Coturnix japonica: one gene and its partners. The protein of the gene in region 2 purifies or fractionates together with the protein of the main gene of each other region. This does not show direct contact. Links are inferred from orthologs where the notes say so. Each region holds a gene or a part of one and is shown on either strand. Other genes may lie near its edges.

Evidence for each region. The genes of interacting proteins can lie anywhere in the genome.
Region 1: the proteins of MCRIP2 (region 2) and DDX6 purify together in Homo sapiens (co-immunoprecipitation; 5 studies listed by BioGRID and IntAct, with this or other methods). This does not show direct contact. The link is inferred for Coturnix japonica from reciprocal best matches to the Homo sapiens genes MCRIP2 and DDX6.
Region 3: the proteins of MCRIP2 (region 2) and ATXN2 purify together in Homo sapiens (co-immunoprecipitation; 3 studies listed by BioGRID and IntAct, with this or other methods). This does not show direct contact. The link is inferred for Coturnix japonica from reciprocal best matches to the Homo sapiens genes MCRIP2 and ATXN2.

The regions. Positions count from the first base shown.
Region 1 is NC_029539.1:4,832,226-4,837,304, forward strand, and holds part of DDX6 (probable ATP-dependent RNA helicase DDX6), read right to left. Parts: intron 4,828-5,079; coding exon 4,698-4,827; intron 4,220-4,697; coding exon 4,073-4,219; intron 3,836-4,072; coding exon 3,741-3,835; intron 3,077-3,740; coding exon 2,954-3,076; intron 2,616-2,953; coding exon 2,487-2,615; intron 2,182-2,486; coding exon 2,065-2,181; intron 869-2,064; coding exon 805-868; intron 1-804.
Region 2 is NC_029529.1:11,893,822-11,899,640, forward strand, and holds MCRIP2 (MAPK regulated corepressor interacting protein 2), read left to right. Parts: upstream 1-1,885; 5' UTR 1,886-1,964; coding exon 1,965-2,016; intron 2,017-2,123; coding exon 2,124-2,202; intron 2,203-3,647; coding exon 3,648-3,775; intron 3,776-3,855; coding exon 3,856-3,957; intron 3,958-4,424; coding exon 4,425-4,495; 3' UTR 4,496-4,580; downstream 4,581-5,819.
Region 3 is NC_029530.1:5,318,165-5,323,243, forward strand, and holds part of ATXN2 (ataxin-2), read right to left. Parts: intron 3,604-5,079; coding exon 3,421-3,603; intron 1,842-3,420; coding exon 1,653-1,841; intron 933-1,652; coding exon 825-932; intron 6-824; coding exon 1-5. UniProt on the Homo sapiens protein: Involved in EGFR trafficking, acting as negative regulator of endocytic EGFR internalization at the plasma membrane.

The DNA.
Region 1 (5,079 bases), on a different chromosome or scaffold from region 2:
ATAATTCTCATGAAGCCAGTTTTTGCACTATTTTTGAGCCGGTCAGCTTTATATAAGCATCTTATCAAATAAGGCACACACTGTCATTTTACAACAGACTTGAAATGTGAGCTACGTCCCATCAACTGAACTATCTCTGTTTCATTTCAAGTGAGTTTTAGTAATGCAGCCAAGATACAACTCAGGCCATATACAGACCAATCAGAACTGCAAAGCATTTGGGAAGTGATGAAGAATCAGTAAATCATTATTCAATAATGCTAGCCACAGTTCTACCTACAGTTCTTCTACTATTTCATATCCAACAATTTATAGGACACTCAAATGTTAGAACATAAAGAAAACATAACTGAAGTACAAATTATCATCACAATGAAAGGATTTGTTAGCAAGCTGCACCACCACAGGTTGCCAAAAAGAGAAAGCCTGTATGCCTACAGATTTAGGCTGGATGTCAGGGAGAAGTTCTTTACTCTGAGAGTGGTATGTGGGCTGTGGCTGCCCCGACCCTGGAGGTGTTCAAGGCCAGGTTGGATGTGGCCCTGGGCAGCCTGGGCTGGTATTAAATGAGGAAGTTAGTGGCCCTGATTGTGGCGGGGGAGGGTAGTTGGAGATTCATGATCCTTGAGGTCCCTTCCAACCCGGGTCATTCTGCAATACAGGAGCACTGCAGCCCGCTACACACAGGTATGACAAAAATTCTCTTACTAAAACAGATTAGTTTTATCACTAAGCAGTTCATCAATTATACCTGGGCTAATGGCTACTCTACCACAACCTTCAGAAATGCATAGGGGCTCTTACCAGTGCAAACAAGATTGCGGCATAAGCCATTTCGGAAATCGTGGAACACGCGGTTGCGATGCTCCTGGAAACACATAAATAAACTAATTAAAGAACAGTTATGACTTTCAGTTGAGTGCTCAATTTACAACCACAAATCCCACGCTCGCCCCTTCATGAATATCAGCTGAGTCTAAACTCCTTGTTCTGCCTCTTAATACCAAAACTTCTTTTGTTCCCAAGGTCTATTTTCATTCCCAGTGTTTTGACTATCATCTCTCCTAGCTCCATGCCAAATGCTGTATATTAATACCTTACATCCTAAAAATATATTCATGAGCATTGACATAAAATCTGGAAACATCCTTCCTTTAAAACTCAAAGTAACTCCATTTTCCACTGCAGAGCATTTTCCACCACTGAATCAGTGATGGTATGAGCCAAGTGCCTGCGCAGACTATTCTCTCACTAACAAGCCACACTGGACTATGCAGATTAATAAGCAGTTTCATTTTCAGAGAGTGAAATGAACAAGTTGCAGTGTCCCACTCAAATAACGATGCCTCCATTTTTTTTTTGCCAGAAAGATAAAAATAAGAGAAATGAAAACCAGGTCTCAAGCAATCCATCTGCACAGCTGTGTTCTCAACACTGACATCAGCTCCTTTTCTGCTTAAATTACTGCTCCATATATAGCCCAGCAAAGGTTCGTATTGTCAGTCCAATGAACAGCCAGGTGTCCATTAAAGCTGTCGTTTTAATTTGTTCTAGTTTACATACAAAATGTAAGATATTTCAAAGTCCTACCACCTTCCACACATCACTTCAACCTCTTGTCAGTGTCTCCAAGTTCACTAGCTAACAAGGAAAGCTATAGTGTGAAGCTTGAGTACATGAGCTACTCTACAAGTAACATAAATCCCTGTGCACCAAAACCATGTTGCTATTTTTCATGTTTACAGCAAGGCCATGGGTGCAAAACTGCTATGCAGTAATAGTTGGTACTTTCACTGAGAGCTTTGATCAAAGCTGTCTCCCTGACTTCTCAGATTCCCCTACAGCCGTGGAGCAAGATGTGCTGCTTGCCAAGTCACGCTGTGAGCTCACACTGGCTGAGTACTGCTCTGTTTGTATTCCTAAATACCAACTGATCAGTTTGGAAAGAGCAGAAAAAAAGTCTGGACACAAAGTGGAACTAAAGCAAAATACATTTTTACAGCACACATAAATTTAAATAAACCTGAAGAACCCAGATAGCAACTGCTGTAACTTTGTACTTACCTGCCTCATTTTAGCATGGATATAGAAGCAGGAATAGCCCAGCTGGGAGATCTTTTTGGCTAGCAATTCAACCCGTTGAGAGGAGTTGCAGAAAATGATCGACTGGTTGATCTGGAGCTGGAAATATAATCAGAGTGTTCAGTAAACATGGAATTTTCACAGCAAATCTAAGGCATGCATCTAAATCCCTTTCGAAAAGAGAGAACAGGTGCTACAAACAATTCATAACATATATTTCTGAACAACAGGGGAAAAAAACTTCAAGGTTCTGTAGCACAAAAGTGCAGAATAAGAATTATTTTTAACTCTAGCTCACAGCATCATTAGTACATTTTGTCATGGAAAAACCTGTCATCCTAAATCTTACTATTTTATTTTGAAGTGAAAAACTGCTTTTGTAGGCTCTAAACCCTATTGCTTACCCTGGAAAACAGCGTATTGAGGCAGTGAACCTTCTGACGCTCAGTTACATAGGCATAGTACTGGGTAACTCCCTTCAAGGTCAGCTCCTCCATCAGATTAATCTCATAGGGTTTCTGCAAATGGGAATTCTGAAAGACAAAATAAAATAAAGCAGGCGTATCTACATGCAAAACAGCATAAAGACATCCTGTCCTCTGGCACACTTAAACTGCAAAGCACGAATGCACCACCCAGACACTCTGTATCTGTCATGAGAAAGGGCAGGTAAAATTTCAAGAAAGTTTATGAAAGATTGCTTATAAATCCAAGGCATCAGACCACACTAAAAGCAATTACCTTCTATCCCATATTTAGGCTGATATATTAAACCAAGAAAGCATGACTGTGTAAATAAAAGAACACCACTCACTCGTGTACCCTATGTACAGTGTCACAATCATATGTACAAGATTCCAACTGCACTCACCATGAACTTCTGTACACTCAGAGGGAAAGTGGCTGAGTAGAGCAAAATCTGTCTGTTTTTAGGTAGCGTGAGAATAATGTCTTCCATTATTTGAACAAAATCTTGAGACAGCAACTTATCTGCCTGTAACAACAAAAGTACAAAATACGACATTAAAGAGATGGGACAGGCTCCCAGTCCTCTGGTAGTGTAACACAGCAGAAAGAAAACACCACCAGGAATAGTCTCCTCCCCAGCTTCACTCCCTTTGGAACAATCACTACACTCTAAAAGATATTTGATTTAGCTGCTGGAACCAGGATTCACCACTTAAAGGAAGTTTACATTTCCTGGTTTTCAAAACTGTTTTCAAAACAGAATCAAATTAAAGAAAAATAAATAGACGCCAAGAGCTGTCATAGGATTATTTTCTCAACCTTCTCACTCAGAAGCCTGTAATCTCTCAGATGTTCATAAATCAGTTTATATGAACTTGTGGTAAGCACTACTCATTTGTTACAAACCGAAACTAAACAAAATGCATTCCCTCCATTCAGAAGTGACTGTTAATCCGTTCCACAGCAACAAAAAAGTAAACAGAAGTCAAAACCTTTTTAGGAAAGCAACCTAGGAAAATTCACACCCAGAAAACTTCTGCCAAAATACCTTCTCAAACCACCAAGAAATGATTTAGCTATAACCTTGATATCCTCAAGCAAAACTACTTGTTGATGTGCATAATGAGGTGGCTGGCTGAGACACATCACTGCTTTAACAAGTGAAAAATGTTTTAACATGAGCTACTTGCCTCATCCAATACTATCATCTGGACATGCTCAACTTTTGCTACTCCCTTCTTGATGAGATCGAGAATTCTTCCAGGGGTAGCTATCACCACATGCACTGTGGAGTGAGAAGAGCAAAAAAAGTTAAGGCAACTCAGGCAGTGTTTCCAGCATTCAGAGACATGTTTTATACCAAGCATTTGAGAGAATAACCACATACAGTGACAAGGACACACTACAAACTATTTTCTAACAAGCAAACAGTAGCACAGGCAAAAGAGAAAAGTACAAATTCTCCCACCCAGGATAAAAGCCCCAAATAAACAGTAACTGTAATGCAACAAAGTGCACCAACCTGTATCATCAAGCCTCATTATGTCATCTCGTAAATTGGTTCCTCCTGTTGTTGCCATCACTTTGGCACCTCCCATGTGTTTGCTGACTTGGATACAGATTTGACTGACCTGCAGGGCTAGTTCACGGGTGGGAACGATCACCATTGCTGAAAGTTAAAAGTATCAGCATGAATTACTATTAACACACAGTCTTAAATACTTCCCTGTAGAACATAGAAGCTTCACAAAGCCATATTTCAAAGTTTTGCAGTTCCACTATAAATATCCTGATAGGTATCTATAGAAGTCCTAGAAGCTGCTCAAAACAAGATAAATTCCACATGTGCTCCCTCACACTCGCTCCACACAGCTCTCCCAGCCACCACATGTTTATTACTCCTAATCTGCTTTCTGAGGCAAGAAAGTAAAGTCTGGAAGATACCTTCCAATTCAAGTTCCTGAAGGGAAACTTGCAACTTATAAAATTCCACCTTCCCTCTACCATTCCCCATGTACTTGCTTTACAAGTGTGAGCAGACAACCTACATCACTGCATTTCATCAAACAGCTTTTAGATTCAAGTCTAGACAGTGAGCAATAATACCACCACCTGGATGCAGCTAAGGCAGACCCATCCCAACTGACCTTGTATGTTGTCCTTCTTTAAGTCTAGCCGTTCAAGTAAGGGAATGAGGTAGGCTCCACTCTTGCCTGTTCCATTTTTCGCTCTAGCCAAGATATCCCTACCAGACAAAGCAATGGGGATGCTCTCCTCCTGAAATGACAGTCAATTCATGAACAATCACCAGCTAGGCTCACTAAAGAGATTAACAAAATATAATTCTCCTCACTAACAATACAACATTACATGTTTATTCTGTGAACAGAATATCCTGCGTGTATTGTGCTCTCACAGATGGAAGGAGTTAAATCTATCAGCAAAGAGTTCTTCAACACAATACAACACTTCTGCTCCCAATATCCCAAATAAAGTTCTTAATGTGCTCTGTACTGGGTACTGCAGGCA
Region 2 (5,819 bases):
ATTCTGCAGCTCCATCCCTGTGACTTTCAGCTGCGCGTGTTCCCTGTGTACCCCCACCCAGACAGCAGCAATAAAGGGCGGGGTGGGGTTACAGAGAAGTCTGCCCTGACCCCCCCTCCCCTGCCCTGTCACACAGGGCACCCCCAGCCCTAACCCAGAGAGCTTCAGGATCCTCAGCCCTGAATATGGGGATGCAGAGAGAGCCCTCTGCCTGCACACTGAACTGGGAGAACTGTTATGACGGGGCTCCTGGCACAGGGACGTGGGAAGGACACGGCTGTGCCTCACCACGGGCAGCTATTTCTGCACCGGGTGATATTTCTTGGTGAGGAATTCCTCCCCACTTAAGAGCTCGTGTTTATTTTTGTTTCATCAATGGAAACTGATCCCTTCCAGCTCAGCCCTGCAATGCCTGGAATGGGAGTCTGGGTGCCACTTGGGCCCGTGCACATCATGCAGCAGCAGGGCTGGGATCAGGGCTGGGATCAGGGCTGGGTGCAGGGCTGGGTGCAGGGCTGGGTGCAGGGCTGGATGCAGGGCTGGGTGCAGGGCTGCACGGTGCATCCCACGGGGCAGCATTACCTTCGCACGTGTGCTGTCAATAAAGGGCACCCCCCGCTTTGCCCTCGGCGGTCTCTGCAGCCGGCAGAGCGCTGTGCCGCCGTCTGAGGGCGGAATTTCGGGGCTTTCTTTGTTTTTCTAATAAAAGCCCCCAAGCGGACACAGCGGGGAGTTCGGCTGCTCGCTTTGCAGGGAGGGCCGCGATTGTAGAACCGGAATCCCAGAGCGGTTCGGGTTGGAAGGGACCCTCAGAGCCCGCCCGCTCCCACGCCGTGCGCTCACTGCCCCCCCCGGCAGCTCAACCCATCCGTGATTGATCCCCCCTCCAAGGACGGGGGCTCCGAGTGACAGATTTCCTCCTCGCAGCCCCCCCAAATCTCCTTTCCTTCCCTTTAAAGCCGCTCCCCGCCCCGTCGCTCTGCCCGAGTCAAACCTCTCCCCGCTGTCTGGGGGCACGGAGCGCTGAGGGCTGCAGCCAACGGGCCCGGCCTCAGCCCCCCCTGCGTCACCGCAGCCCCCCCAGGGCCGGGCGCTGCCCCTCGGATTGAGAGCTGCCGTGAGCAGGGCTCAGAATGGGGCGAAAAGCAGCGATTTGTGTGGGGAAAAAAGAAAAAAAGAGGGGGGGGGGGAAGAAGAAAGAATAAGAGTTCAAAAAGAAATTTAAAAAAATTAAATAGAAGAAAGAAAATCCAGTTTAAAAAGTTAAGAGAACGCCGTGCGCCGCCCGGGAATCGAACCCGGGTCGCAAGAATGGGAATCTTGCATGATACCACTACACCAGCGGCGCCGCTGCTGCTCTCCCCGCTCCCTCGGCCTTATCCCCACTATCCCCACTATCCCCACCATCCCCGTCCACTCGCGGTGCGGACACGCCGTGGGTCCGTCCCTGCGCTGCGCATCGTGTCTGTGCGATAAAACCGCGCCGTGATGCGGCCGGACGGGGAGAATCGCTGCAGCTTCGGGGGGGAACCGGGACGCGGCCACCCCAACAGCGACGGCCGCGGGGACCCGGCACGAGGAAGCTCGTCCCGCCCCGGAACGTGGGTGACGCGTTCCCGGCTCCGGGGGTCACCGCCACGTGCGGGGTCTCCACGCGCCGCCCGGTCCGAAGGTCACCACGCGTGGGGTCACACACCCCACGTGGCAGCGCGTCCCACGTTGGGCTCAGGGCCGCCCCGCAGCCCCCACAGCCCCGCACCCCCCGCCGTGCCCCACGCGTTAATGATCCCACTCGCGTCTCTCCCCCTCCACGCGTTCCCCCACGATTGAGGCGCGGTCCCTTTAAGGCCGGGGGCGTGCCGCGGGCCCGGCCCGGCCCGTTAAAGGCCCGGCGCGGGGCGCTGGGTGCACTCGGCCGGCGGGAGCGGCGGGGCCGTGCCGTGCGGGGCCGGAGGGGCCGCACGATGTACACGCTGACGCGCGGCCCCAGCAAGTTGGCCACGCAGCGCCGCACCGGTACCGGGCGGGGGGGGCGGGCGGGGGGTCGGGGGGAGCGTTGGCACCGCGGGCACCAGCTCCGCTCCGCCCGGCCCTGACGCCCGTCCTTCCCCCCCCCCCCGCAGGTCCCACGCAGCAGCCGGTGGAGAGCAAGGTGGGCGAGCCGCGGGGCCGGCTGCAGCCCGGAGCGTGGCCCCCCGCCAGGTGAGCCCCGCGCCGCGCCGTGACCTTGGGGAAAGGTGACCGCGGCCGCGCGGCTCCGGGGAGGGCCCCGGGGCGGGGACGGGAACCGCAACACCCGCCTGGAGTCCGCCGAGGGGTCGTGGGGGGGGGAGGGGGGGCTGCGGGGGTCGCTCCGCTGCTGTGCTCCCCCCTCACCGCCCACCGTCCAGGCCCCGCGCGGAGCCCCGCGGTCCCGCAGCGCAGCCGTGCGCCCTGCAGGGCCCCGAGGGTGCGTGGAACCTCGTGTCCCCGTGTCCGTGCGCTCCCCGCGGGCCGCGCCCCCCCCGCCCCCCCCGTCGGAGTTGTGCAACCGCCGCAAAAGTTCAGGGGCGGCGGTGGGGCCGCACCGCGGGGCTCTGCCCGTGTCAGCCCGTATCGCCGCCCCGGGGCTGCGCTGTGCCCGGAGCCTCTGCCCGGTGCTGTCCCCCCCACCCCCCACGCACGGCCCGAGGGTCAAAAGGGGGAAAGTCTGGGGGTCCCCGAGGCGGGGGGGGGTCGTGTCCCCGTGCGGCGATGAGCCCCGTGCCCGGTCCCGCACGTCCGTGCTCAGGGAGCAGCCTTCACCCCTTTTCTCTGCCTTCAGGGAACAACCGAGAAATGTCTCCCCCCCGCCGCCCCCCGCCCCACTCCTGGCACAGCCGCTCAAGGCAGCGGTGGGTTGTGGGCTGGGGGGGCACTGCCGGCCCCGCTGCTCTGCACCCCCCACCCTGCGCTCCCGGGGCCTCTCAGACTTTGTCCCGTGAGCGCTGGGACTCCCGGGTTCCTCCCGGGGCTACGCGCTGACCCTTCACGTGGGTCCTGTTCCATGCGGACGGTTTCACCTTGTCCTTTAGGGCAGCAGCTCTCCCGGGGGGGCTGTGTGGGACGGGGCGGCCCCGGAGCTGCTCCCCCGCTGCAGGGCTGCCCTCCAGCTCTGCCCTCGCGTTGCTTTCACCGCGCTGTGCTGCTGTTGCTCCTCGTGCACCCGGCCCGTGTCACAGCGCCGTGCCTCAGTTTCCCTCGTGTTGTGCAGAGCAGCAGCAGCAGCTGCGGGGTTCCCATGTAGCAGCTGTGACAGCCGCTGTGTCCCCAGCTGGGCGGCCTGCAGGGCACGTGGGGCGGGCGGTGCGTTGTGCACCCTGATCTGCTTTATTTCCCTTCTTATTTTTGGGCTGTTGTCCTGCTGCCTCCATCCAGAGCAGAGCTGGAGCCTGGAAAGCACGTGTCCTTGCTTGGGCTCTGCCAGGCGTGGTGGCCGCCTTGGGGGCAGGATGGGGGACAGCTGTGTCTGTTGGTCCATCCTTCCCCTCTGCTGGAGTTGGGGGCTGCGATGGGGCAGTGCCGGCTGATGGCACAGGAGCTGCGTGGTGCACACAGGGTGGTAGGGCTGCCCCGCTCCTCGTGTGCCCCCAGGTTGCCCTTCTCCCCTCAATCCCCTCTTTCCCCAGCCCAGCCCAGAAGCTCATCTTCAACAGAGTGAACGGCAAACGGCCGCAGGTGCTGCTGCCGCACAATTCTGTGCCCGAGGAGAGTTACACGGCCGCCCACGAGGAGAACGTCCGCTTCGTCTACGAAGGTGGGAGAGGCTGGAGGGGACGAGGGGGGGCTGCAGGGCGCCGCCTGCCCTGGGGTTCACCCCCAGCCCTCCATCCACAGCCTGGCAGGAGGTGGAGCAGCAGCTGGACGGGGGGCAGAGAGGGGAGAGCACCCGTGGGCCTGTGCAGTACGTAGAGAAAACCCCGAACCCCCGGCTGAAAAGTGAGTGGGGAGCGTGGAGGGGGAGGGAGGGGGAGCAGGATCTGGGGGAGCACATGGCAGAGCCGCCCCCGGCTGGGGGTGGGGTGACATACCGGGGGGGTCCCGTGGGCTGTGAGTGGGGGACATCGGGTGTCAGTGTTCCTGGTTTGGGTGGGTGAGCCCAGTGCTGTGCAATGGGGTCTGGCTGTGGGGCCGTGCCATCACCCCCTGGTTCTGCTGTGGGGTTCTGCTCTCATCACACAGGATGGAGACACAGCGGGGATGGGGTCAAAGTAAAGGCAGAGTGAGGGGCTGGGCAGCAGCTGGAAGTGAGAATGTCACCGAGCAGAGCAAATGCCCGCAGCCGTTGGGGAGCTGGGGAGCCCTGGGGCTCAGGGGGGTGTTTTTCCCTGTGCTAAATGGACGGCGCTGCTGGGAACGCTCCGTGCTCCAGCTGCGATCCCTTCTCAACATCCCGTCTCTTTCAGACTTTGTTCCCATTGACCTGGAGGAATGGTGGGCGCAGCAATTTCTGGCCAAGATTGAGAACTGCTCCTGAAGGGAAGGCGGCCGTTCCCACTCCCACTGCGGCCCTTTTTCATTTCCCCTCCCCTCTTTTTTTTTTTTTTTTTTTTTTAAAAACCACGACAAAACAAAACAACAACAAAAAAAAAACCAACAAAAACCACCAACACCTAAAAACCGACCCCGACAAACCACGCAGCCAGGAGCCTCCGGTCGGATGCGGCGCTCGGTGGTATTTAAACAGCTCTTCCAGCCCCGAGGACAGCGGGATCGGAGCACAGCCATGCCCGGTGCGGGGCGGAGGAGCCGCGTGCGGCCCCGGCCGGGATTCCTTAAGTGCCAGTTCTGAGCCCGCTGCAGCTCCGGGACACTGCGGGGTGTGCGGGCAGCCCCCCCCCCCACCATGCTGGAGGACAACGGGTCACTGTAGCAGGACAGACAATAAAGCGCTGAAACTGCCTGTGGTTGAGGGGCTGGTTGGACCCGGGGGAGCGTTGGCGGCCCAGCGGAGGGGTGCAGAGATGGAGAAGTTCGGATCGTCCCCATGCAACAGCCCCAGGGCTGCCCGCCGGCCTCCACGTGGAGCTGGAGGTGCTGGTGGTTCGGGGGGGGCTGAGCATCGTGGCTGGGAGCCGTGCAGGGCTGTGCTGTCCCTGCAGCCCCGCGTTATCTCCGCGGTCCCCATAGGGGTAAAGCAGCGGGAGGAGGGGGCTGGGGGCAGCCCTGCAGCGCAGCCTCTTCCTGCAGGACGCAGCCGCTGCAGGGGGCGGCCCCACGAAGGGCCCCAGTGCAGCTTTGCCTGGGCTGATTCCTGCTGGAGCCCTATCGGGTCCTCAACAGACCGAGCCGTGCAGGGTAGGAAACCGATCGCTGAATGTGAAGGAGGCCAGAAAACAGCTGGAAAAAAAAGGAAAGCTTTATTCTCGTGGTGGGAACAACAACTGTGCTGCAGCCCAGCACAGCAGCCACAGCCCCTTCTCAGATGGTGCTGCAGGAGGGGCAGGATGGGGACAAAAACAGGTGGCAACAGCGATGCCACACGGTGACTGTGCCCCAGTGCAGGATGGTGCTACAGCGAGGAGGGCACCGGGCTGCCACTGCGGGATGCAGGGTCAGTGTACAACGTGCTGCACCCAAGGCAGAACCTCCCTTAAGCCCATAGAGCTCCCCCTGCTCCTGCTTTCCCACTGCTGCCCTTGTGCAAGGCAAGGTCCCAGCAGCCCTGCTGCATCCTGCCCTTGCCCTGTACAGAGAGGTCCCAGCCTTCCTGATGGACCCAAGAGAAAGCAGCATTGCTTTCCTTGCACTGCTGTCCCACATCACCCCCCATGGCACAGGGATGTTTGCAGCGGGCCCGG
Region 3 (5,079 bases), on a different chromosome or scaffold from region 2:
TACACCTGCCAAACACAAGACCAGAATTGTCCAAGCATCTCTAATTCAGGTTTTCATCTATAACCCCCATGTTTCTAAATTTGCAAAAAGATAATGCTTGCATATCTACAAATTAAATACAACTACATCACTTCATCTGCAATTTGGTATCATCCCATGAACTGTATGTATGAGGACACAGAAATAGTCTGTAAAAGCACGGCATTATGTAAGTGACACATCTATAGTTCTAATACATCACACACTAAGACAGAAGCCCTGAGGTATAAGGACTGCAGAACCCAGCCAAACACAAAGAAGTGTGCAATAAAACCCTCAAAGCATAACATGCCAACATTTCAAAAGTATCAGTTAAAGCTGAAATGCTGATTAAGTTCCACAATGTAAAAAGATTTTTATGAGAAATGCAATAACAAGCAATGCTGCAGAGAAAAAGGCGACATTAAGGCTTAATAGGAAGAAGCGTGGTTATAAAAAATGGTGTGGATCACAACGACCACAAGTATTGTGTGCACAGCTCTAAGAACCCTATCCAGGCCAGGAGAAAGGAAGAAAAAAGGAAAAAAAAAAAACAAAACAAAAACCACACCATCCACATGAATATCTCTATACTGCGAGTAGATTAAATGAGTGAAGAACAACACTTAAAACTGTAGGTCTCTGTCACTTTAGAACTGCATGACCTCATTTTCTCTACATAACATCCAAGACAGATAGCCTCCTCAAAGTCTTCCTTAAAATGTTAACTAAACTAGTCAACATAGCAGGTTTAGTACTCAGGATTATACATTACTCAAGTACTTACAGAAGCTTTTGATACCAACCTTTGCTTTCAGGTTTAGGAAAACTAGGAGAACTCTCACTTGGCTTTATATTCTCCTTGTTTCCAGCTGCAGAGTTTTGCCTCTGGTCCTGAAGCCTGGTATCTTTAGCTAGAAAGGAAATTGTCTAAGTTACTCTCTGATACACAACTAAAACTGATTAAAAAGAGATGACAAGATAAGAACAAAAGAGAGATTTAACCACATTTAGCTTACAAAAGAAAATCTCTATGTTACGTATTTTCTGTTCTCTTTAGGGCTTGGAGAGTTACCTTTCTTCCTTGCCCACCCTATGCTTATTAAGCCAAATGAAACTATCCCAGTCCACACTCCTCCAATTCACACGCAGATCCTTAGCTAGGCTGAATAAACTTTAAAATGAAAGGACATTACTTCCCATAGAAAAGCTCTTCTTATGTAATTTTACAAAGATTTGAGAGTTAGATCCTTATGACTGTGCTCTTGAAATGTTTATTCTTTCACCACGCTTATAATATTCTAAGAAATCAGTGAGCTGAGCTTCTTCAAATGAGAAAACAGCAAAACATCCATTTGAAAAAAGAAAAATGTCCTAAATTAGGTCAAACACCCATACTTCATAGCTCCTAAAGGGCAGAGGAAATTAAGTATACAGTCTAACTAGAAAGCCGTTTGAACCTTACTTCAAAGTCGTCATCACAGGGAAAAAAGGAACTCAGTACATAGAAAAATCAAATGCATCAGTCAGAATTTTTCCCATCATTTCATATATCAGCTTTGGTCATGCAAAGGGATTTTCATTTTCAGAAATGAGGCAGCAGAAGCATTTGCCAGCTAGCGAGAGTTACTCACCTTCATTGGAAGGGGTAACTGCTCTGTTGGATGCAGGGCTGGCAGGTGTCGGAGAGGCAGCTGGAACAGGCATGGCAACAGATTCAGTGGGAATAGTACCAGGCTGAGGAGAAGGCAGAGCTGGTCCTGCAGGAGTGCTGCTCTGCCTTGGAGACCTAGGCCTGTGTGTTTTAGGGGATAATCTCGGAACTAGAAACAAACAGGAAAAAACAGTTATAGGATAAGTTTCCTCATTTGCTCAGCAGTTTGCTTAATTTTAAAACAACTAAGAACATGCTTTAAAAAATTCAATGGAACATTATCTAGTGACTGAAAACCTATTTACCTTTCAGGTACATCTCCTAGCTCTTTACAATGCAGCATTTCAGATAAATGGTGCCATTTTCCTGCAGATTGTCCCCTAACATATATCACTGCTCTGCAAATCCACCAAGAAACCATAATGTGGTCTCTGGTCCCTCAGTGGTATGAGAGATCATATTAACAAAGTTTCAGACAGAAAAGAAAAAGGTGGTTCTATCTCCATACAAACAAATACAAAACATTTTTTTAAAGGCTGGGAGGAAAAAAGAAAAACAACGCAACCACCTTTCCCTTTACAGCATGCAATCCTTTTGAGGTTTGCCAGCTGCAAAAAAACAAAAACAAAAACAACCCATGCATGTCTCATTGAGAGACTTGATGGCCACTTTTGTCCTTGCATTAAAGCAGCAAAGAAAGCTGTGTGCTCTTTAAAAGGTTATACCTCCCGCTTCCTGCTCATCCCACAGTGGCTAGATAGTTCCTTTATGTCATACATTCATACATAAACTTCAAGTGAGCAAGAAGAAAGAAAAGTAAGTCTTTTAACAGTTCTACTTGCATGTCACAGATATATAAAGTTGGAGTAGGGAGGGTAGATGAATTGGAGAGAAAGCCAGAACAGAAGCGTTTAAAAGTTTTCCACAAGGCAACCAGGTCTATGGGGTTGTCTATGTGTTACATGCTTTCTAAAAAATGCCTTCCCATTGCCCTTCCCTAGAATTCTAACAGCACTAAAAAGTATCAGACTCTGAACTGTTGCTCACTTGCACCTGGAATCAAGAAAGCACTCAGCTGCTGACGACTGACCAGAACACAGTCCCAACTACAAAACCAGGGCTGATGTCACAAGACTGAGCTTTAAATGTAAATCAAACATGAAAAAAGGAGGGAAAAAAAAAAAAAAAAAGCGTTAGCTGATTCAGAAAAGACATTGATTATATCTGCTACTACGGTACTTACGACAAACACAAAACAACCACTTAAAATCTGCATCGTTTTTTAAAGAAAAAAAAGTACATCCAACTTCACTTGAGTACCATTTCACATTTCCTTGTAATGCCAGCCTTCCTCTACCCAAACACCTCGCTCCTTGGTAAGTCATAACAATCCAGCTATACAGTCACTGACCAAATTCAGACAAAAAGTATCTAACTTTTTCTCATCTCCTTCAATAATGTGCCAGGTTATTTCTTTCAACAACTAATCCCCACATTTTTCCTTCCTTTCATACAGCAACTGACCTGTCCTCTCTGCAATTCAGACAATATTACGCTTTAAGAACCAACTGACCAGTTGTTACACTAAACTATCTGATAACACCCTTCTCCAGCTACATCTAAGCAAGCTAAGTTAGCAGACCAGTGTATTCAGAGCCTGAATTGTCTAAAAACACAGTACTCTGCTTAGCATTAAGACTCTAAGGTACCCCTGGCAAGCCATCTGCAATAAGCCAAGCTTTACCTACCCCCACTGACAACTGATGACCACGTCCCACCTGAAGGGCTGCCTCGTGCCACTGCAGTAGTAGATGCTTCCCCTGGTGCATTATGAGATACAAATTCTAAGCCACTTGAAATTGTACCCCTACCAGTAGAGACTCTGTGACCTCGAGGGTGCCGTTGTGCCTTAGGAGACATCCGTGGAGGCCCTGAGAAAAAGAAGACAACCCCACACAATAAGTACTCAACATCCATCACAAAGCATACTTAAGTATACTGACTATTTATAAAAGTGGATTTAATCTAAGATGCAATAATACAATCACACTGCCATTGACTAGAACCAGGCATCTATGAGACCAAAAAGGTCAAGTCATTGGTTCAGCCAGACTAACAGCATCCTCATTACCTTACTAAGTAAAAGCACATTAATGTATATAAAATAATTGCATAATTTTTGTCAGGTGGTCAATGATGGCAAACATTGATTTACAGAGCAGCTGCCAACACTGGCTGACCAGCACTGTTAGGGAATTCCAGCAGATCATTCTGCACAGAGGCTGAATTGCCTGCAGCAGGTCACAATTCATTAACAAGTCAGCAAAATCACAACTAAACAAGTTATTGTTATCCCAAGGTTCCAGTCATGCATGTTTAACACACCAGAAGCTGAAGTCATAAGAAAATACAGTAATTCTGAACAGTTTATACAGCTGCCACAGAAAAGTTATACTCAAGTCTAAGCAGCCATACAGTCTCTACATCCTAATAACAATTTCTTTACAAGATCACACTCAAATGTTGATACCCTAAAAGGAAAAATGGTGCATGAGCAGAAGACAATCTGGCTGATTACAGTTCATTTTTCATTTAGATCAGTATCAGAAGTACAGGTAGCAATTTCCTGGTTTCATTTATATACGGCTCTAAAATACCGAGTACCTCTTCTGATTACATAAAACTTTAAACATTAGCTTCTATTTTAATCATGAATCTAAAGCACACTTGAATCCAAATTATATACAGGCAAGTATTTTACAGAATACACTTCCCAGCAATTCTCATGTTACAGTAAGCAGTTCACTGCATGCCTGACAAGTCAATCACAAGTGCTCAAAAACAACTGAATTTGTACACAGATTCTTTGTATCTTGCTACATCAAAGAAATCTCACACTGATAAATTTAATTGGCAGTAGAACACTGTGCAGACATGTTTGCTACTGTCCACATCTGGTTATGGCTCATGCTGAGCATTTATCAGGCAGGCTGTAGAACATGCTACTGATTGAATGAGCACGCTTCTCTCACCTGGCTCCAGCAGAGCCTACAATACCAGAGAGAGAGTGCACATTTTCAGGGAGCTTAGGTAACCAGTTTACATTTTTCCAGGGCTGCCAGACTGTGCTGTGCAGGACAGCTTTATGGTTGGTTGTTTTTTTTTTTTCCTGAGTGCACTTCAAAATTTAAAAGTTTTTTCCTTACTGTACCCTCGGAGTACAGATACGTTTAGTTCAGATTCTATTGAATACAGTTACCAAGGATCACATGTCAAAGTTTCCCTGCACACACTTGGCTACTAGGGACTTGTCCTGCCTCAATGCAAACTTAGACCTAATGTTTTCTACTGATTCATCTTTGAAGCAGCTCATCCTATCACATTCTACTCTGCACTTGTTTAAATAT